Linked DNA regions of Oryzias latipes. The protein of the gene in region 5 purifies or fractionates together with the protein of the main gene of each other region. This does not show direct contact. Links are inferred from orthologs where the notes say so. Each region holds a gene or a part of one and is shown on either strand. Other genes may lie near its edges.

What was found.
Region 1: the proteins of ecd (region 5) and eapp purify together in Homo sapiens (affinity purification with mass spectrometry; 3 studies listed by BioGRID and IntAct, counting the BioPlex papers as one, with this or other methods). This does not show direct contact. The link is inferred for Oryzias latipes from reciprocal best matches to the Homo sapiens genes ECD and EAPP.
Region 2: the proteins of ecd (region 5) and tssc4 purify together in Homo sapiens (affinity purification with mass spectrometry; 3 studies listed by BioGRID and IntAct, counting the BioPlex papers as one, with this or other methods). This does not show direct contact. The link is inferred for Oryzias latipes from reciprocal best matches to the Homo sapiens genes ECD and TSSC4.
Region 3: the proteins of ecd (region 5) and aar2 purify together in Homo sapiens (affinity purification with mass spectrometry; 3 studies listed by BioGRID and IntAct, counting the BioPlex papers as one, with this or other methods). This does not show direct contact. The link is inferred for Oryzias latipes from reciprocal best matches to the Homo sapiens genes ECD and AAR2.
Region 4: the proteins of ecd (region 5) and prpf8 purify together in Homo sapiens (affinity purification with mass spectrometry; 7 studies listed by BioGRID and IntAct, counting the BioPlex papers as one, with this or other methods). This does not show direct contact. The link is inferred for Oryzias latipes from reciprocal best matches to the Homo sapiens genes ECD and PRPF8.

Annotation. Positions count from the first base shown.
Region 1 is NC_019880.2:24,339,440-24,343,521, reverse strand, and holds the start of eapp (E2F-associated phosphoprotein), read right to left. Parts: upstream 2,807-4,082; 5' UTR 2,677-2,806; coding exon 2,597-2,676; intron 2,284-2,596; coding exon 2,105-2,283; intron 797-2,104; coding exon 698-796; intron 1-697. UniProt on the Homo sapiens protein: May play an important role in the fine-tuning of both major E2F1 activities, the regulation of the cell-cycle and the induction of apoptosis. Promotes S-phase entry, and inhibits p14(ARP) expression.
Region 2 is NC_019861.2:37,264,290-37,268,507, forward strand, and holds the start of tssc4 (protein TSSC4), read right to left. Parts: upstream 2,806-4,218; 5' UTR 2,709-2,805; intron 849-2,708; 5' UTR 779-848; coding exon 20-778; 3' UTR 1-19. Other genes in the region: shcbp1 (SHC SH2 domain-binding protein 1), read left to right, coding at 3,014-3,146, 4,048-4,218. UniProt on the Homo sapiens protein: Protein associated with the U5 snRNP, during its maturation and its post-splicing recycling and which is required for spliceosomal tri-snRNP complex assembly in the nucleus.
Region 3 is NC_019865.2:15,451,661-15,455,842, forward strand, and holds the start of aar2 (protein AAR2 homolog), read right to left. Parts: upstream 2,801-4,182; 5' UTR 2,531-2,800; intron 1,974-2,530; 5' UTR 1,839-1,973; intron 1,604-1,838; 5' UTR 1,547-1,603; intron 1,217-1,546; 5' UTR 1,076-1,216; intron 979-1,075; 5' UTR 1-978. UniProt on the Homo sapiens protein: Component of the U5 snRNP complex that is required for spliceosome assembly and for pre-mRNA splicing.
Region 4 is NC_019871.2:16,913,012-16,917,224, reverse strand, and holds the start of prpf8 (pre-mRNA-processing-splicing factor 8), read right to left. Parts: upstream 2,803-4,213; 5' UTR 2,646-2,802; intron 2,173-2,645; 5' UTR 2,162-2,172; coding exon 2,005-2,161; intron 1,905-2,004; coding exon 1,736-1,904; intron 1,531-1,735; coding exon 1,366-1,530; intron 1,251-1,365; coding exon 1,032-1,250; intron 951-1,031; coding exon 738-950; intron 607-737; coding exon 481-606; intron 386-480; coding exon 280-385; intron 1-279. UniProt on the Homo sapiens protein: Plays a role in pre-mRNA splicing as core component of precatalytic, catalytic and postcatalytic spliceosomal complexes, both of the predominant U2-type spliceosome and the minor U12-type spliceosome.
Region 5 is NC_019873.2:17,934,630-17,938,780, reverse strand, and holds the start of ecd (protein ecdysoneless homolog), read right to left. Parts: upstream 2,803-4,151; 5' UTR 2,669-2,802; intron 2,473-2,668; 5' UTR 2,441-2,472; coding exon 2,236-2,440; intron 2,157-2,235; coding exon 2,039-2,156; intron 1,938-2,038; coding exon 1,850-1,937; intron 1,211-1,849; coding exon 1,032-1,210; intron 874-1,031; coding exon 681-873; intron 567-680; coding exon 438-566; intron 327-437; coding exon 198-326; intron 91-197; coding exon 5-90; intron 1-4. Other genes in the region: protein FAM149B1, read left to right, coding at 3,549-3,595. UniProt on the Homo sapiens protein: Regulator of p53/TP53 stability and function. Inhibits MDM2-mediated degradation of p53/TP53 possibly by cooperating in part with TXNIP. May be involved transcriptional regulation. In vitro has intrinsic transactivation activity enhanced by EP300.

The DNA.
Region 1 (4,082 bases), on a different chromosome or scaffold from region 5:
TCTGTCATTTCATGACGTGCATTCAAACCCTGAGAATTATTCTATGTATGTACTAGAACAGAATTTCTGGCATGGTGGTACAACGGTCAACCGCTAACATTAATATTCCTAGTCCAATTCCCACTCCCAATTACGTTCACACCAGACGTGTCACACATTCTTGGACATGCGTTGTCATATGGTGTTCACAGTGGACGGGCGCCAACACGTCCACCACCTCCAGTTGGAGGAGGCTTGGGAGGAAAATTCAAAGCGGTGCAAATCTCCAGGCGTTTTCTTTCACGGCTCGATTCCGGTTTATGAAAGACTTGGTGTGTCATGTAGTTCTGGCAGGGCACAAACTGCACATTTTGAATTTCTCCTTCTTGATCACCTTTCAACCAGTTAGCCCATTTGGTGAATTAAAAAGGATGCTACGCATGCGTCACTACCAAATCTGACTCTCTGATTGGTCAAAGTTCAACTGGTTTAACTTTCAAAGTGCGTTCAGTGGGTGCAGGTTTTGTACAAAAACAGACATCAAGACTCGCGCAGAGATGCACGAACAAAAGAGTTTTGACCGAAGAAGCCGGAAATGCGCATTTACAAGCGTTTACATAGACTTGGACTCGTTGGAAGTAGTGGCGTAGACGCGGATTCCCGTGGGCGGTGTGAACCTAGCATGCCCGTGCTCACGCCGCGTCAGTGTGCGTCTTACCAGCTGTGTCCTCCTCCTCTGAATCAGAGTCAAAGTAAACGCTGTCGTACATCTGAGGGTTGGAGGAACCGACAACCTCGCTGCCTCCTCCAGTTTCTGCTGCAGGAGAGAGGAAACCTTCACATGCAATCCCTCCTGAAACCTTCGTCTGCAGTCAGATTAATACAGAAGCAGACCAACCCCTCCAGAGAACAGCTGATGAGCTGCCTTTGCAGAAAAACATTCAAAATTTACAAACTATTGGTTTGTTTTGGGACTTTTATTTAACACAAACTAATCATTCAATTTCTCCTGGAATTGTGGAGGATTTGAAGGTTCTGGTGGATGAGAGGTTGTGGACTCCGGCTGGTTTGACTTGACTTTCTACTATAGCAAGTACATTGTATTAAAAGAGCATTTTTCTATTTTAAATTGAACAGTATTTCTAAAATATATCTTTTTTCTAATGTTTGTATGATTTATTAATTAAAACAAAGTAAAGAAGCCAAACATGAGTGGTATCAGGTCAAAACTATTGTTTTTGAGTTTTGCATGAAACCTGTCTGGATCTACAAATCCTCCCATGCTGGTCACTGATCTGACTGTTCATTACAGCTCAGACCTTAAAGTCTGCAGCTTCTAAAGAGAAGAACAGCTTTTAAAGCTGCACTGAATGGAGGAATGGAAACATCAGAAGACCTGTGGGGTGTTCCAGGAAGCATGTTTAAACTAGCCTGACTTTAACCCTGAACTCTGGCTGAAATCCGCCTGAAATCGCTTACTCTGGGTATGTCGGTTCCAAAAGACCGGGTATGAGTTGGCGTAATTGCGCTCGACTTGGTAACCCTGGGTTAATGCTCGTGCACAGCAGGTACATAAAGACATTCTCAATAGATCGCCGATTTACGGAGTAACCATGGAAACGCGTGGAGAACAATGGTGGAAAAAGTATTATCTGAGCTTCTTCATCCACTAAATCATCTTCAAATGGACACGCCATGCTGCTTCACCTCTCTGAAAACAAACTAAGCTTCAACTAAACCTGCTCCAGACCAGGTTATGTTCAGAGCATGAGTTACTATGGCAACTTGACCTACCCTGAAGCATACCTCCATTTCTAAAACAGAAAGCTGAGGGTATCAACTTCCTTAGCCTCAAACTTACCGTGGTAACTAGCATAACCTGCTTTCTGGAATACCCCCCAGATCAGGCTCTAGAAGCAGAATGAGATGGTTTTGAAAGGAGAGACGGACAGTTATGCTGCTGCTGCTGCTGCTGATGATGATGCTGGGAGGCGGCTGAGGTTGGGGCTGGTGGCTCCAATGTGGTAAAGTGGTTCAAAACAACAAGCAGCTCTCTTTTGTACAAAAGCTTGGTGTTTCTGTGTTTGGAAGGGCCCTGTGTGTGTCTGTGCGTGTTACGGGTTACCGGCTGCAGGGGCCCAGCTTCCTTCCATGGTCCTGAGGGTGGAGCTCAGCTCTGCCTCCATCTCCTTCTCAAACTCATCCCCGCTGGAGGACTCGCTCTCCCCGGTCAGGTACTCCCGGATCAGCTTCTTCTTCTGGTCCGGCGTCCCGTTCAGCAGCACGTCCAGCTCGTCCTCGGAGCTGAAGACAGGCGTTTCTGTTCAAAACTGGACTTTTGGAAACCTTCATCATGATGACGATCATGAAGCAAAGCAAAACACAGCGCCAAAATGCGACATATTGCGTCTCTTTTATCATGGTCTAAAACCTGATTCAAACTTTAAAATTAAACGTCTAGGAACTGGTTTATCCTGCATATATTCTACCTTTAAAATCAAAAACATCATTAAAAACCAAATCATAAACATGTAATGTTTTTATCCGTTTTTGTTGCTTTCAGCTGTTGTTAGCCTCGTGCTGCTAGCATGAAGCTAACCGTCTGTTTACATCATACCTGCTCGAAGCGCGTTCTTCGTCGCTTGGCTCATCGATTTCATAAGCCTCACTTTCCACCGGTCCGTTAAACTTGCTCATTTTAACAATTTTAAACTTTCTCAGAAGACAAAACAACGGGAAAGATTTATCCCGAAACTGGTCTACACTCTGTCCAGTCTGACGTATGTCTTCTTCTTCGGCATCGGTTCTTCTTCTATGGTGGTAAAAGCACTTGGAAAACTCGTTACCGCCCTCTTGTGGAGAAACATTTTAAAATCATTTTTACTTCAACTATCTAAAAGGAAATTCATTTCAGAACTAAAAAATAAAAGTAGGTGGAATATAAAACAAAAGAAACAAATAAAAATAAATTTATTTATTGCTAAAGCCACAATTTAATAGTAAAATCGGTCAGGTTAAAATGCTGAAGCTAAATTTAAAAGATTAGAAAAGTAAAATTAATAAAAAAGAAGAAATTAATTATTGTTTGGATTTAACAGTAGGTATAACATGAAAATAATTAAGAAAATTTTCAAACATTATATATTTTTATGTATCCCCAAAATATAATGATAACTATAGACTTCAAAAAGCATTAAATAAAAAGTTTTTCAAGATTAGTTTAAGGATAACCCATGCAACTTGAAAAGGACAATAGAGGTGAAAAGATTATTCAGCCATAAGCGCTCATCCTGGCAGCTCAGGAACAAGCCCTGAGTACCAGAGCAATAGAGGCTCAGATCTACCACACCAGACAAGACCCAAGGTGTAGGCTGTGCAAAGAGGCGCCTGAAACAATCCAGCACATAACTGCAGGGTGTAAGATACTGGCAGGGAAAGCATACATGGAGCGCCACAATCAAGTGGCTGGAATAATATACAGGAACATGTGTGCAGAATATGAACTGGAAACCATAAAGTCAAAATGGGAAACACCTCTGAAGTGGTAGAGAATGAGAGGGCAAAGATCCTGTTGGACCTCCAGTGTTATGGCTGTGGCCGTATTCGGTTTTGTTCTTTTTGTTCTGTCTTTTTTGTATCATAGTGGGACTTCTGTGTTTTGTGGGTTTTTGTGTGTCTGTCTGATTACTTTGGTGCTGGAAAGGGTGTGGCTTCCTTTTGGACCCAAGCTGATGGAGGCAGCCTTTACAAGCAGCATGTGGACCCCCAGCCTGCCAGAAGGGAGCTTTGCTGCAACCTGTCTCCACGGAGGTTATTGTTTTGTCACAGGTAAGATTTCAGATCTCAGTCAGGTGGGGTTTTGTTTGTTATTTTGGGTTTGGTTCACCCTGAAGCCTTTTTGCTTCACCTTTTAGTTATTGTCGATCGGTATTTATTAATTTGTAAATAAATGTTATTTTTTATGGAGACACTCTTTTGGTGTTTTTGGTGTTAATTTAAAGTCAGGGCAAAAAGACTTTACTGTTATGTTGTGCTCCTCTAGGTCCCCCTAGATATCAAATGGGGCAAAACATCCAGATCCAGACTGATGCAGTGATCGCTCC
Region 2 (4,218 bases), on a different chromosome or scaffold from region 5:
CAGCATCAAATCGAGCATTTTAGCACTCATCCTTGTGATCCGAGCTCCTTCTGTAGCTCTTCCTCTTCATTTTCTTGAAGGGGGTGAAGCTGGGGAGGGACTCCTGCTGGTCTCTGACCTCCTCTGCATCCTGCTGGGTCTTTCCAGCAGCCTTGTTGTCCTCCTCCTCTTCCTCAGCCAGGTGACTGAGGTGCAGTCTCTTCTCCTTTCCTTGCTGGTCTGACTCAGAGATTTCTTCCTTGAACGCTCGTTTGGGTTTAGAGAAGACCACCTTTTGCTGCTGGTCGTGGGGGGGTTCACCGGGGGGGCGGTTGCCCTCTTCAGGCCGCAGACTGGACAGGAAGTTGTGCGCCGCCCTGCGGTTCTCCTGATCAGTGGTCTCCTTCACGTCCTCCAGGCTGTAGCGCGTCCAGCGATCAGGGTGCAGCAGGTAGTCCGGGACCCCCCTCTTCTTTGCAGGAGGGGGACATTTGGGAGGGGGCATGCTCTCCTCGGGGAGCAGAGGTGCCGTCTGCCTCTCGACGCCATCCAGGCAGTCGAAGACGCTGCGGCTGCGGTCGGAGAACGCAGAGTTCCCTCCGCTCAAGACGAACGTGCTCGCAGTTGAGCGGGTGGCGCCGAGAGCGCACGCCTCCTCGCCCCCGTCGTCGCTGTCATCCAGCTCCGGGTCAAAGGGCGCCCGGCTCAGCTCTTCCTCGGGCTCCGACTCGTCACTGGCCGACAGCTCAAAGCCTTCTTGGTCGTCGCCGCAGCTCTGGACGCATTTCTGCTGCGACATCTTCAGCCGCGGCTGCAGCCGAACCCCGAGCCGCGAGGAAGACAAACCCGGTCAGGTGGGAACCCCAAAACTGTAGAGGAAGACACCAAAGGTCAGGCCACCCCATCAAACCTGCATGGACTGGTTTTAACATCTACCAAAACAACAACAAGCTGCTAGGACCTGTGAGGACGGACCACCGAGCATCCAACAGTAAATATGAGGGTTTTGGAAATAACCTGTAAAATAATAATGATCCTCTATGTTTACATCCATTTTAAAAGCAAGCATAATTATTTAAGTCCTAATTCTGTTCAATTCAAAACAAACTTGAAATAAATGTTTTGAAATAATGACCCAATAAAAGGTCAATAATTACAAGAATGCGCACGTGCAGCCAGTGCTGAACGTTGTCATTGGCTGCACGGACCCACAGGAAGGGTCAAGGTTAGGATTTCGGTAAGTTCAGGCAGGTATCCAGGAAGCACGTTTAAACTAGCCTGACTTTAAGCCTGAACTCTGGCTGAAATCCGCCTGAACTTGCTTACTCTGGGTATGTCGGTATGACCAGATTTGAGTTAGTGTAATTACGCTGGACTTGGTAACCCTAACTCAAACTCCCCAACCATCAAATCAGAGAATATTTGAATGAAACGTCCTTTCCCTACATCTCAAATTCAAATTATATAACCCAATATTTCAATAATTCAGAAAAGAAACAAATACGAACCAAATATTTCAAACTCCCCATCCCTCCTAAAGCCAAGGAAGTCAATTTTAAAACCTTTTCAGGTATTTTACCCTTCCAAGGAATTACTAAGAAAACGGTTTGGAATTCCTGAAAACTGCTGTTCTTTTTGTCATGATGACATTGAAACAACTGAGCATCTTTTCTTTGAATGTTTTGACTCTAATGTCTTTTGGAATTATTGGCTTTTCCCCCAAATCCCACATTTAGCAGACTTTTCTATTAAGGACATCATTTTTGGGTTTAATTTAAAAAACAAAAAAACACAGAACTTATTTTAAATGTTGTAATTATTTTGGGTAAATTCTATATACATAAATGTCAATTCCTTGAAATCCAACCATATTCTTTTACATTTCATAAAGAACTCTGCTCTTTTTTTCATCTGCAAACTTCATGGAAATCAAACTTGCTATGGAACTTCAAAGTATTATATGTAACTTGCAGCTTTTTGAGAACCCCCCAAGTCAAGAATCATTAAAATGTCTATGTGACCCCCTTTTTATTTTAATTTCTTTTATTTAATTTTTTTTCGGTATTATTGTTATATTTTTATTTTATCCTGCCTATGTTGTTTGTTCATGTCCTGTACTTTTTCTACTTTTCTATACTTGTCATAATTGTATACAATTGTTACAAATTGTAAACCTCAAGTGTTTTTTCAATTAAAAAAAAAGCTAAAAATAAAGAAAATACCCCCCTGGTTCCTGAGCGGCTGTTTCTGCAGCTCTCCGCTCCTCCAGGATCAAAGTACAATTTTCTCACAGTTAATGGGATTTTAACTTTAAATATGTTTTCCATAACTTTGTTTTCTAGTAAAAATACGTGCGAACAACAATAATAACATCATCATGATCATCAGCCTTAACAGCGCATGAATTAAAACATCTGTTTCATCTCATATATGAATTTTTTTTGTGCCTAAAAAACTAAAGCTTTTGTTTTGATTTTATTTAAAAAGATTGGCAATAAAAATAAAAATAACTCGGAATATTGACTTCGTAAAAACAAGATTCAGACTGAAGTTAGTTAGCATGCTAAGTAGCACGATGCTAGTAGTAGCGCGACATGCTAACAACGTTACAAATGCTTATAAACAAAACAAAAATGCTGTCTAGCCGAAAAGAGCTGCGAAATGCGCTGTTGTTTACATGACAAATATTTATATAATACGCGTAGTTTTGACTTAAATCCCGTTTGTACCTTTGAAATAGCGCAGACCGCCGGCCGAAACCCTCTTCTTCTACGGTAGATCGTGTAATGTTTACGTCATTACTGCCCCCTAACGATTGTCCTGTGGTACTGCAGACCGAGCCGATCCGCGCATGTAAAAAAACAAGGGCGGGTCTTTATATAGCTCCCTGCTGTGATTGGCTGAGCTGCAGCAGACCGGGATCTTTTGAAAGTGTCAGGGCGTGGGCTCAGAACTCCGCTTGTTGTTTCAAAGCTCCAAGTGCCGCGTGATCCTCATTTAATCCCGTTAAACCGAGACTCTGGCGAGCGTTTCAATGGAGTTCGAAGCCCTGGAAACCGGGTGTACCGTCAGCGACGTGTCGGACTTGGTGGTGGTCGATCTGGATCCTCAGGTCGAGACGGACAGCGTTTGCTCCGCGGGACCCGGTTTATTGGATGTAGCGCAAGGTTTGTTACGTTACCGTTTTTGGTTTGAGTTTTCTTTCCTCCGAGTCGGTGTATGAGACAAGCTAACCGCTGCCGTCGAGGTTTGCTAGCTTGGAGATTTAGCAGACTTTTTATCCGAGTTTCCGGCGGTCTGTGAACGCAGCGTCTTCATATGTCGTCAGCCTGAGCTGCATTCTCGGAACTGTCAATCTTGCAGGATTTTCCAAACTTAACCCAAATACGACAAATAATTATATTTCACTCTCATCTGAGTAGACATTAACGGATGTTGAAATAAACAAATAACACAATTATGTTATTACAAAAACAAAATATACCTATAGAAGACCGCAAAAGGGGTGTCAGACTGTTTCTTTTTTTTTTTTTAAGATATCCTGCCTTATCTGCTACTGATTACCTGGATCAGGTGTGCTTCATGGCAGGTTGGTTGGACAACATGTAGGACACCGGCCCTCGAGGCCTGGAGTTTGACACCTGGAAAACGGGGGTGTAAATAAATTCATTTATTTGTGTATGTAGACACAGTATTTGTGACTCTTTTGTTGATTCTATGAAGTTGTTTAACAGATTGTTAAATAAAAGAGAAGAGAAAATATCTGCTTTCATGAGGATTTTGACACAGGAGGACCGGAAAAAGCCTTAAAACCTGTTAACTTACTAAAAATACAGCAATTAAGGACAAAAATAACATTTAAAATGCCTATGAAATTATTATTAAAATTAGAGTTGAAAGCATATTTTTTAAAATAGCAAAATAACTTTATAAATGAGTTAAATCAATGCAAACATTTTTTTTAAAGTCCTTCAAAGTTTAAAAAAGCATTAACAGTCTTTTATTTTGAAAAGTGGCGCTGGACAAACTTTCACAGCCATCATTCATGACCTCCGCTGGGTTCTGCAGCTCTGTTCCAGAACGATGATGCTGGAGACGTCAGTGACGAAGACGAGGATGACGACGACGACAGCGGGACAGACCACCAGAACTCTGAGAGGTCGGGGACGCAGCTGCAGAGGTCGGAGCGGCGGTCAGGAGCGACTCTGCCGGACACCTTCCAGACCGGCAGCCTGCTGT
Region 3 (4,182 bases), on a different chromosome or scaffold from region 5:
TTTGTGTCACAAATAACCTCCTAAAATAAAATACAAGTGTCCTGAATATTGGAAAGGATTACCCAGAACGTCCCACAGACAGTCACAGACTAGTGAAGAAGCTGCTTCAGGGGAGTGTTGTTAAGGAACAAAAACGCATTTCTGCGTCGCTGTAAATGTTACGAAAACAAACAATGAAAAGAGTATAATTCTGACTAAGAACTGCCCTTCGCACTTTTTTTTTTACTAACATGCAAAGAACAAAAGCTACTTTACGATAATGTTCAGATTCGTGGCGAATTCGCTTCGCGGACTCTCGGCTGTAAACACTGGCGGACGCTGCGTAACACCTTATTTGTTCCGTCGGAAACATTCTTTTTAAGAACAGTTCCACTCTTTAAGATTTCCTTTTATAAAAAACAACAAAACCAACAATTTCCTCTCTAATAAAAGTATTAATAAATATTCAGTATTTTATTAAATGAAATTACAGTAAAAAAGACAGGAAATATGTATAATGTCAATATGTCATTCAAAAAAAACATGCTACAAAGAATGAAAATGTGCATATTTTACTGGAGAACATCTGAATGGTGAGTGAATACTTTTTAGCTTATCTTGGCTTATTAGGAAACAATTCATATTGCAAAGAGGAATGCTGACATGCAGTGGATGGCGTTTTTTTAATCACAAAACTCGGAGATCTCGACAACTGTTAAAAAAAGGAGGAATAAAACAACTTGAGCATTCCAATAAAAGAGGAAGCCGTTTTTTTTTTTACAAAGTCTATCTTGACCAGATTGGAAGAACCATCTGGAAATTTGAGTGCATAGAGTAGCACGGGTCCTAGGGACCAAAGTCATACTATTTATCAGAGGGTACGACACTTTTGAGTTTTTCCCAACATCTAATCAATGCCTTTATGGTTTTGATCACCCTAAATCTCTTGCCTTTTCTCCCTTGTATTTTTTGGGCAGATGAACAGGGGTTTTTCTTTCCCTAGAAGTAAAAGAAAAAAAGAAAAAAAAGATAAATTAGTTCAGATTTTTAAGTTTTTTTGCATACTTCAAAGATCTGCATCGGTACTTTTTCTCACCATATAATTAGGACTGCAGTTTTGAACGATGAGCTGCTCCATGTTTTCTATTGGCTTTTTCAGGTCAGACAGCTTCTTGCCGCTCTTCAAACAGAGGACCTGCTGTGTGTTAATGTATATGGACACAAGGATGCGATGTGCCTGCCATGAGATGGCAGGAAAAAGGAGAAAACAGACAGCATTTAAAGACCTTGATAACAAACAATGCAAGTATTTGGGTAGACAAAACTTGCCAAACTAAACAAATATGTCACATCAGGGTTAAAGAAATCTCCTTTTTTGTTTTTTTGTTTTTACTTTTAATATTGTTTTTTTTTTTTTAAAGCAAAATATTTTTAAATGTTCTATTTTAACAGTTTTCTGTAATTTGTTTCCATTTTTGTTACTACGTTTACTGCATTTGTTGTGTGTGTGATTTCCGTTTTACAGCCACCAAACTACATCTAATGTACCTATAGCATTGATGCTCACCTTTGCAGAGGGGCAGGGATCTCTCCCTTTGGATGAGTTGTGAGAAACAGTCAAATTCTGAAAAACATTAGTCATCAAAAATATTATTTTAGAAATCCAGTTTCATCTCATTCAAAGTGTGGGAAAATTCGTTTTGAGGCTTTTCTTTGTGTGTGTGTTGCAAAACAAACACTGGAGGGCAGTCTCTAACCATATATTCCAACACTTTTCTTAGTGTCAGCTGTAGGTAAAAGGCTGTTGAATATAAACAAACATTGAAATTCTTATTTTGCGGTCAGTTTGGTCGTCATACCAGATTCTGCAGCTCAACGAAGATGACTTCTCTGTAGAAGCCCAGTATGTCTTTGTAGTTACATTTACTTTTACCAGATGAGTTGGCCAACAAGAGAACCACCAGGACACTGTGGAGTAGAGTTCCGGTCAGACACTGCATAAAAGAAAGAGGTGTGGAAGTACCTTAAATGCAGCCCAGTGAAGACTGAATAAAATCACTCGGCTCCTGGGCATCTTTGTATCACATGACAGAAAGACAAAGTGCACAGACTTTGGCATTAAAATGCTCTGAAATCCACTTTTCCCAAGTCATAGTCTGGTTTTAAGTCTTTGGTTACAAGTCAAATCCAAAATGTTGGAAATTATTTTTAAAAATGTGTGATTCTCACTAATGTCATTACAGTATTTTAAACCACCTAATAGTGACACATACAGCACAAAAATATTAGACCTCAATCTGTTTTTTTTTTTTAAGGTAAAACTAAAAATAAACTAAGAATGTTCTCAAGTCCTCAAAGTCTAGTCTGATGCTCTTGAAGTTAAGGTTTCAGTCTTAAATAGGCTTTCAAGTCTTAAATCCCTGCCTTTGAAACTGAAGTGAGACTCAAGTCCGAGTCTCAGGTTTAATTCTCAATCTCTGCTTTGGCATCAAAGCACTAAAACAACTCACTTTGTCACTGTGCGTGCGTAATTACGCACCAGTGCGCTTACCATTTATTATGCTCTTCAGCAGGATCCTCAGACGAGCAAACCTATGTCTGACAGTGACTTGCAGGTTCGTGGAATTAACGCTCCAGCTGCTCTCATTATCCTTCTGCTTCCTCTCGGTACTGTCTGCACTGCACACTTTCTCAGGTGCAGAGGTCAGAGCTGCAGCGGGGTCAGTCACAGCCGACGCAGCGCTGCGTCTTTCCAGCATCACCCAGGCTGCTGCTGCTGCTGCTCAATTTCCTCCCCGTCATGGACTACTGACGCTGGGTTTAGGATTTCATCAAATTCCAGTCGGTTCAGGTCGAGGAAACTCCTGCAATCAATCATCTGCCTTTGTGCTTTCGGTTTCGTTTGGAAGATAGGACACTAAAAGAGAAGCTTTTCTTCTCATCAACTAGCGTTACTTTCTAATAATAATGGTATTAATGAATAAAAGTTTAGAGGTCTAGTTTATGGTTGAATGATAAAATAAAGAAACCCTTTATTTGTGATTTAGACAAAAAAAATGAGAAACCACATTTTATAACAATAAACAACTATGGGAACCGACTGCGGGGGTGGGGGTGGTGGGGGTAACTGAACTGGTCCAGCAGAACATTTCCTACAATGAAAGTTTTTGTTCTCCCATATTCTCACATTTTATTCTGACATCTGAAAAACACTTTTATAGAAAGAAAGTTATATTTCAGCTGCATTGATGTAAAAATACAAGAATCAGCATTTAATTCAGTTTGAGAAATATTTTTTTGTCATTTAATGACAGAAACTTTGAGAACTGTCTAATCCTGTGGAACAAATGCAAATTTTATTCATGAAATCTAAATGAGATATTAGTGTAATTTAAGATCTCACCAGATAATTACTGCTGAATTGAGACTCAAAAGTTTAAAAAAAACTTTTTCTAGATGCATGAAGAGACTTCTCTTGAATATTGTAGCTGCTATGTTTAGCCTTACTTTGAAAACATCATTTGCAGATCATCGTCTGTCTCACTGAGTTTGGAGTCAGAATTCCCCTCAACCAAACATTCACTTCAGAAGGTCTGCATTGTTTGTTTGGGAGTAAAGACACAAAAATTAAAAGTTGAACAAACCAAACATGGAGTTTTTACATTGTCATTTTGCACACTCTATTGCGTAAAGTTTTACAGATTTCTTTCAAATTGCAGGGCAAAGCAGGATTGGGTCTTTTGCACAGGGGGACGGGAATGCATGCGCTAATTTCTGGCCAGAAACTTTAAGAACAGACATGAACCTCAACAAAAAAGAAGGTCTGAGCTAACTCTATCTAGACTCCCTGAACAATACAAAGGGGTGTCATTGTCAGAGGAAAAAGTTGGTCTCACTGATTATAACAGAAACAAAGTCTAAAAAATGAATTCATATTTCTGTTTATTTACTTAATCCTTGGTGATCCATAAGTTCAAAGATACTTCTAAGCTCTTTGAACCTTCATGGCTTCATGCTAATAAGAAATATAGGAGCATTCAGGTCAAAATTAGAACTAAAGAGAGACAAATGAAACAATTTGTGTTTATTTTTGGGGAGTGGGATTATACCGGGTGCGGCGTAGAAAAGAGAAAAAAAAATACATTATTTCTAGCATGATGCCTCATGTTAGCAGAAGTTTGAGATGCTCCGGTCAAAACTGAA
Region 4 (4,213 bases), on a different chromosome or scaffold from region 5:
ACCAGGAGACATAAATAACCTAAATGATGTGTTTTTAGGGCTGCCGGTATGCAATGAGAAAGTGAACATTGTCTAAACGGTGAGGTTTTTCCCTGCAGCTGCAGTCAGACATGAATTAAAATGATCACCATTCATTTTGCTTTTCCTCCTGTTCTTACGCACAGGCAAGCAGGCCAATGCAAGTGCGCCTTTGTAAGAGGATTAGGTCAATAAATAAAGTCTTCTCATCAGAGAATCATAAAAAACTCTCAAAACAATGAGATCATCTGAGATTCACACCTTGACAGAATGTCTGTGGGAAATGGGGTTGATCAGCGGATCAAAGTAGAACGCTGGAAGATCTGGATCCTCCGTTTTGATAAACACCACATTTGGGGTATGGTACCTAGACAATAATAAAGACGTGAGTAAACATAATGATCAAAATGACAAATTTGGAGAAACACAGCAATTTTGTAAACACCAAAGCTTATTCGTTACCAGGTGAGATGCACGTGGTGTGGCAAGTTGTTGTACAGGTAAGGGAATGCAATTTTGTACTCTGTCCTTATTGGCTGTCTGATGATGATTTTGTTGATGTCATTGAACTCATTCCAGTCCTCATCCCTGTATGAAAACAAAAGTTTAACTACGACTCTTAATTGCCAAAGCAAGAAAGAAGAGATCCACATGACACAAAAAAGAAACCCAACAGAAAATGTCTTAACTGTTTTGTTACATAACATGCAGGGACATACTGGAGGTTGATGTCTCTGACAAGCGGCTCGAACTTTGGTCCCCCTGGAATGGCCATATTTAGAGCCTTGGATGTGAAGAAAGCTTTGAGGTCAAACAGGTAAAAATAGTTGAAATCCACCAGGTCTGTCAGAAGCTGATTGGCCAGACGATACAGCGTTGACATCATGGGCAATGTGAACTGCCATCGACGGTAGGTGGTTCCATTCACATATCTAAAAATGTACATTTGTTAACAGTAGGATCGCAATGTAGAATGGTTGAGCTGAAGCTTGGACTCATATATGGACACTCACTTGGAGTTGTCTTTGAGGGGCTGGTGTTCATATAACCACTCAACAACTGAGGCATCTTCCTCAGAATCAAGCTCCATCTGGATGGCTTCCAGGGGTTCCACGTCAAGAATGTTGTCAGCATAATCGAGCGGAGGCTCCTCATCGTCGAACGGTGGGAAGCGCATTCTTTTGAAGTGCCGCCGATCGCGCTTCTCACGACGCATCATGATCCACATGGTGCTGGGGGGAAAAAAAATAAAGTTGGAGAAAACTGTTCAACAGATAAATAGCAAGACTGCAATTACAATGAAATTTACACACATTCCACAAAACTAGGATGATACTACTCACTTACCCCCACTGAGCAATGTAGACTGGCTCTATGACCCACGGAATTTCATTCACAAATGAAATGGCTCCAGTGATGTGGTACAGCACCGGCACATCTCGGATCTGTTCCCAGGGCATCGGCATGTTTTCAAGCAGCTTCAACACAGCGTGGGGCATATACTTGAGAGCACTGTTAAACAACAGAAAAGAGAATGGAAGGCATGTAAAGGGTCTGCAATAACAGTAGTTTTGACCAGGAAACTAATACTAATGTATCCAAAAAGACAAGCAGAGGAACAGTGGAGGGTTCCATAAAGTTAAAAAAAAATGTTTAAGAGAAAAATAACATGACTTCAAATGACTTTGCATCTGCAGAAAGTAATGCTTCATCTTACCCAAGGTAGACCCTTTTGTCATGCCGGAACTTTCTATTGGTCATGTCGCCGTGATCCCTGATGATCTTGCGAACATGTTCAGGAGGCATGTCCTCCTTCTGGGCATCCACAAAGCCAAACTTCCTCTTCTCGGCATAGCGTTTGGCTTGTAGCTGTTGCCATTTCCGTGCTAAAGATGGAAAAATGTTTTAGTAGAATAATGTTTGAAATACATGTATTAGATGTTAAAAACAAAACTTAAAGAAAGGCAAACTCAACGGACAACGCACCCTTTTCTTGTAGTTTCTCTTCAGACATAAAGTCCGGAACTGGCACAGGAGGGGGGACACCTGGGGGTACGCCCGGCGGCACAATTGGAGGCACACCAGGGGGAACAACTGGGGGCATCCCAGGAGGGACCCCTCTGAATGGAAAGTTGACTGCCATACTGTAGCAAACTGTGAAATATAAAGTTTTTTTTAAAAACTGTAAGATGCAAAACTACATACATCAAATTTGAAAAAAAAAAAAAAGAGTTAGGTTACAGACTTTAAAGGGACTAAACTTTCAACTATTTACTAACACATAACTGCTTGGAAGCAGGATTATTGTTTGCAGGCTCTCGTTTGTGTAACATGCTAGGCTAAATCAACATGGCTTCCCGGCTAACGGGCACACTTCCCACAAAGTGCACAAAATAAACATCAAGGCACCATTATCCACTTGTGATAGTCAATTAAATGTTGACATGGTCAATTTTAAAAGCGCTGTTATATTTCAAATGAAGTGTGCGACACTAATATAAAAAATCCGGGTAAACTGTTTTAGGCCAAACGTTACAGCGCCGTAAACTAGCATGCTGCTAGCGTTAGCATCTCCTCGCGTTAAGTAACAAAGAGTAAGTTAAAGACAACAGCAAACATGTTCCTACCTTCACCACAGCAGTATTGTTGCAACGTTCAAATAGCCTCGGCGCTCTCGCTCTCGGCTACCATAACATATCGGCTCTTCTGATTGAGTTTCTCTTTTTCCCCGCTCACTCACGCTGCCGTTCGACTCGACGACAACGGAGGATGAACGCAGGTCTGTGGCATTCAGAAGCAGAGTTTACGACAGAAATAAACGTATCACGCGGCTAAAATGGCATCGCTGTCGCATTTGCTCCACGCTAAATCTACGCAAACGTAGGGATGCCGAATACCCGGATGTCTTTGTTTCCGGAGCTTTACCGCCCCCGCAGGATTGGGGACACAATTAATAGTTTGTACGCCAAATGAAAGAAAGAGCGAGTTATTATGGAGTTGCTAATTTCCAATTGATTTGAACGTCAGCACAAAAGCACCTTACAAAAAAGATCATTTTTAATGCTATTTTCCCACAAATCTTTCCTGTTTATGACTGATTTGCTTACCGTTGAATGAATTTTGTTTAATTGCTGTGTGACAGTTTTACAAATGTAAAAGCACAAAATAACATCACAAAATAAAGTGGCAAGAGCAGTTAATTCGGAACCTGTGGATGTTTTTAATCCCCAACTATCCCATGTTGTGTTCAAGTCATTTTACACCGCCAACATTTTTTCCAGTTTCACTTTTATAATTAACAGGAGGGTCAAGTCTGCCAGAATGTGTGTCCACGTAGTGTTTCGCAGTAGAAACTAATTAACAACTTTATCTTTTTTAAAGCCTATTCTTGATGTAAGACATGCATGTCCAAAGTCCGGCCCATGGGCCTTGCTTTCAAATTTCCACCGGCTGCAGCCTCTGGTCACAAAATCCGTATCCAGCCCCCAGCACCTTCTGTAGACTGTGTTACAATTTCTTAACTGTGATTGGCTAAATTCCATTTTTAAAAATTGTAAATCTGTGGATACACTGTCTGTTGAACAAGCCGATGCGGAACCTTTCCAGTTCATTTCTAAAATGTCAACTGTAAATAATAAAAAAGAAAAGTTGACAGCAAGAGCAGCCACTTGTAGAATGTCATTTATAAGTTTTTCGTTAGCGTTTGACAAAAGCATAGATGCAGAAACTGTTTTTTTGGGGGGAGTAGACAATGACCTGAACTTGAACAAAGAGCCTTGAGGGCCAAACGAAAGAAACAGATTCATTTGTTATTTCTTTGATCAAAGCAACAGTGGTTTGTACTTTGGAAGAAGAAAACTTTTTTCCTGTTCACATGTTTTAAATTTGGAAGTTTAAAGCGAGCATTTATAAATGAATAATAGGTGATTCTTATTGGGAACCCAAATTTATTTTGTAAAGTTTTTTTTTTTTATCCAGTCAAAATTTTTAGCATTTTATTAAAAATGAAATTACGTCATTTTGGTAAAAAAAAAAAAAAAGCATTTAGATGGAATTATGTTCTATGTGAAAAAATGAAAATAAGTTATTTACTAAAAAGGTTTAATTAAAAAGATCCTTTGGATTAATGTTATTATAATGGTTTAAAGCTTTTTAACCTCACTAAAAAATAAATATTATATAAATGGATTTTTAA
Region 5 (4,151 bases):
TCACCTAGATTTTGAAGCAACGGATTGTTTGAAGAAAACTTCTGCTGATCTTAAAAGCTCTTTAAACCGGGCCGAACCTTCCAGCTCCCCCTGCATTTGGAAACGAATTTAACAATTAATTAAAAGCACTGAATAAACAAATCATCCTCATGAATGCATTTCATAAAAAACAAAACTGTTAACAAATGTGAACCAACCCGGAAGTAGTCATTCTTTTGGAGACTTTTCAGGAAGCTTTTCCACTGAGGGTTACAGCTGACAGCAGCGTCGTCGGGCCCTGAAGAAGGAAGTCTGCACCTGGAGCACAAAATCTCAAAGCCGTGAGCCTGAAAGTGGAGCCCAAACACAGACACGAGGCTTCGTGTTACACAGAAAACACAAAGGTGTGTGCTCACAACCAAAGCATGCGAAGATGAAGACAAAGAAAAAGGATTAACCAGTTTCATGCCAAGCTCATGGGCTTTGTAGTGAGGATGAGTGCGCGGAGGAAGGTTAAAGCCACTCCTCCGATCTGGCGTGAACTGCTGCTGCTGCAGCTGGGCATAGAGGCAGCGGGTAAACGTAACCTGGAAATGAGTAAAGGTGAATCTTAGAAGGTATTCTGTGCTTATGATATCAAAACTGAGCTAAAACCTCGTCTGCATGCTCATCCAGCAGAACTCGGGTCGTCGTGTCATTACCGAGGTGAGGACTCTGGTGTCGGGGTGAAACGTCTTGAAGCTCCGACATGCCTGCAGGTCGACTGGATCTCTTAAATAAAAAGCTGAGACGGCAGGTGCCACCAGGTCAGGACGATGCGCCAACACGGTGGCGATTCCTGCCGGTATGAAGCAGTGAGCACGGTGGAGGCCGCTTTTTATCTTCTCTGGGTATCTGAGGAGAAGCAAATGGTTTTTGGTTTGGAATTCAATCCATCATTTACAAAGATTTAAGTCAGCAAAAAACGTATACACTCTCACATTATTTAACCCACAATGATATGATGTAAAATTTAGCGGCAGAAATACTAAAAGGTCTTCTTTATGCATCACCCCACAAGTCTTTTTCTCAGGGCTGAACGTATCCCGGGGCTTGCTTGGCAAGCTTCTGGGTGAGCAGAGAGAAGTGCGAGAGCCTGTTCCACACTGGGGACCACATTACGTGGGAAGCCCACAGAACTCGATTTGGAAGGGCGAGGAATGATGTGCAACTCTCCCCTAAAGAGAAAAACCTGCAAAAGATTGAAAAAAATTATAATAATTAACACTTAAACTATCGAAGGTGGGTTGTCACAAGCTATACATTGACTTCAGTGGGTTTTTGCAGAAATTGTAAGATTTTATTGCACAAGACTTTCTACCCCTGTTCATTTCAAATGAAAAAATCAGAACTTTTACTCAGCTAAAAAAAGAGCTGCATCTATCTAAAAAAAAATATATATTATAATAGATTATAATTATAATAAATCTGTTTCCTTGTAAAGGAGCAGGGATGCGTTGTGAGGTAAAAAAAAACAAACTTTAAAAATAGGGGAGATTTGGTTACATATTTTTATCAAGTCAAAACACAGGTGTTAATAGAATTTATTGGTATCAATCAACAAATTGAAAACATCAGAAAAATCCAATGTCATCCATCCCTTTTTATTCTTCACATCATATTGAAAGCTCTCCGGTTATAATTATTTTAAAGATGCTTATCAATATTTTGCAATACTGCAACATATTACATTTTATCATCTGTTTTTCTGACTCAAGAGGTTTCACTATAAATCTGATCAAAACTCTTTCTGAGAGTAATCCATCACCTTTCAAAAGTATAGAAATATGATATAAAACACACTATTTGCCCCTCTGTGTGTCTGACTCACCCTGTTTTCACTTGTATCGGGGCTCAACCATTTGGGAAGATAATCTGCAGCTTCGATGAGAATAAATTCCCCGTCGTTGTCTTCAACACTGAGTAAAAATTAATTATATTTGGGAACAAACCAAAGTAATGTTGGCAAGAATTAGTTTAAAGAAGAAAATATAACTTCAAATACATATATATTCTTCACCTGACAACCAGATCTGAGAAAGTCTTTGTGATCTGCTGCAGAAGGTAAACGATAAACCACTCATCCTCCACGTTGTCCCCAAACTGAGTGATGCCTCCAATGTGAGCCGGGATGTCTCCTGTTTGCAAACGGAATATACAAAAGTTAATAGTTAGAAAGCTATTAAAGTGAACATAGATCATATAACCATCCATTACCTTTGGATGGATGATACTTCAGATTGAATGGTTGATGTTGCCAAATATATTCCACCAACATGGGGGCAAGCTTTGCAAAAATCTCTCCAAGCATCTCTTTAAGTCGTCGCTCGTTCTGCTGAAGAGTTGAATGATCCGCAGGTAGCAAGAAGAGATTGTATTGGACCATATCATCCTGAAATACCCTTCTTTGTAAAAGATCCATTTTTGTTCAATTTCTGTACTTTTGCACGCAACCTGTTGGAAGGAATGAACAATAAACTAGTGTGCACGTGCGATAAGCAAAGTAAGGTCACAATGTATGTCCAACTGCACAACACAACAGAGAAAGAACTAAAGACAAGTTACCACTGTAGTCCGTTTACAGTTAGCTAAACTCAATTATTACGTAACGACGTAATTTGCATAAACATACTTTAGGATTGAAGCTTACCCTGTCTTACTATAAATTACGTTGATGTGATTGAAAGAAAAAAATAATGACAAAAAATTCTTCAATCATGTTTACAAAACGACACATCCACGATGCTTTCTGCCACTGATTGATCCGTCGGTAATATCAAGCCGACTACACTCTACAACCGGGTTCCTACCATCGTCTTTAAGTTCCGCTTTCTTAAAAACATGCGAATAATACCCCTTCTAGATAAACACAAAAAAATAAAAATATAAATGTTTTTATTAAACTCATATTAAAATGATGTGGTTATGTTAAATTCTCAAGTAAGTCTTTTGGAATTTGTCAATGTCCACTAAACATAACGGAAGCTTTTTCTAGACGTACAAACCACCAGTTACAATGCATGCTGGGAGTTGAAGTAGGTTTTCATTGATTAAGCTCAACACAGATTGTGAATTAACTGCATTTCCCATGAAGAAGCGCGTTCAACACAATTGGTATCCATGACAGCGGCGTTATTGTTGCCAGTGGTTTAGCTAGTACTAGCATTCAGTCCTCTCACAGCAAAAACAAACAAATGTATTAAATATGGTTAGTATAGAACGCTTGTAGATGGCTTGTGTGTGCCATTATAACATTGCTAGAACAACGCTAGAACATCATTTTGCAACGTTGTTTGTGCCCTGTTGATATTTTGCAGGGATGTTGTTCACGCTGGTTAGCTGATATTTTTAGCATCTCATGACACTAAACAGAGCATTAGCATTCTTTTGTCTGTTCAGTCGTGGAGTCATCTTGTCAGAGGAACGTTGTGCCAGGAATATTAGACTTTTCCACAAGATCCTCTGGAGCGGAGGCAGGGACGAGAAATGATGGATTTAGCCGATCATAGAGCAGAGATACAAGCCGGAGAATGATTTCACGATACACCAGAAGACCCGTTTCGCATAAGCTTGAAATGTGAGTACAGTACTACCACACACAACACAAATGTTAAGTTCAGGATTTTTCCTCATCTGTGCTTCATAATTAAATAGTTGTGCTCTGCATGAAGGACTGTTAGCATAATCGACTATCAACAACAACAGAAAAAAGGCTCAAAAGTTGTTTCGTATTTTACTTAAAAATCAATCAAGAATACTTTTGGATTATCTGAGCTGTGTGTCACAGCCTGATGATGATACCCCTTAGACAAAAGCATGATAAATACTTCTAAAGTTAAACAAAAGTTACTATAAATTAAAATCAAACTTAACTTTAAAATATCAATGTAAAAGAATCAAATACACCAACGGAGTTGATTAAAAATCTCCTGTTTTTTATGTTTTGTTTTTTTTCCCCCCAGATGAGTTTATTGGTGTTGAAAATGAACAGAAGGTTGCTCAGGCTGATCAGCAATCTGAGGCTCTGGGGCCAAAGGTGGCTCTTTTATCCCTCCATTGGGAGTTAGTTTTTACTTTTGAAGAAAAATGTTAACAATTTGAATGAATAATACATTTGTAGTTATGGTTCTTGT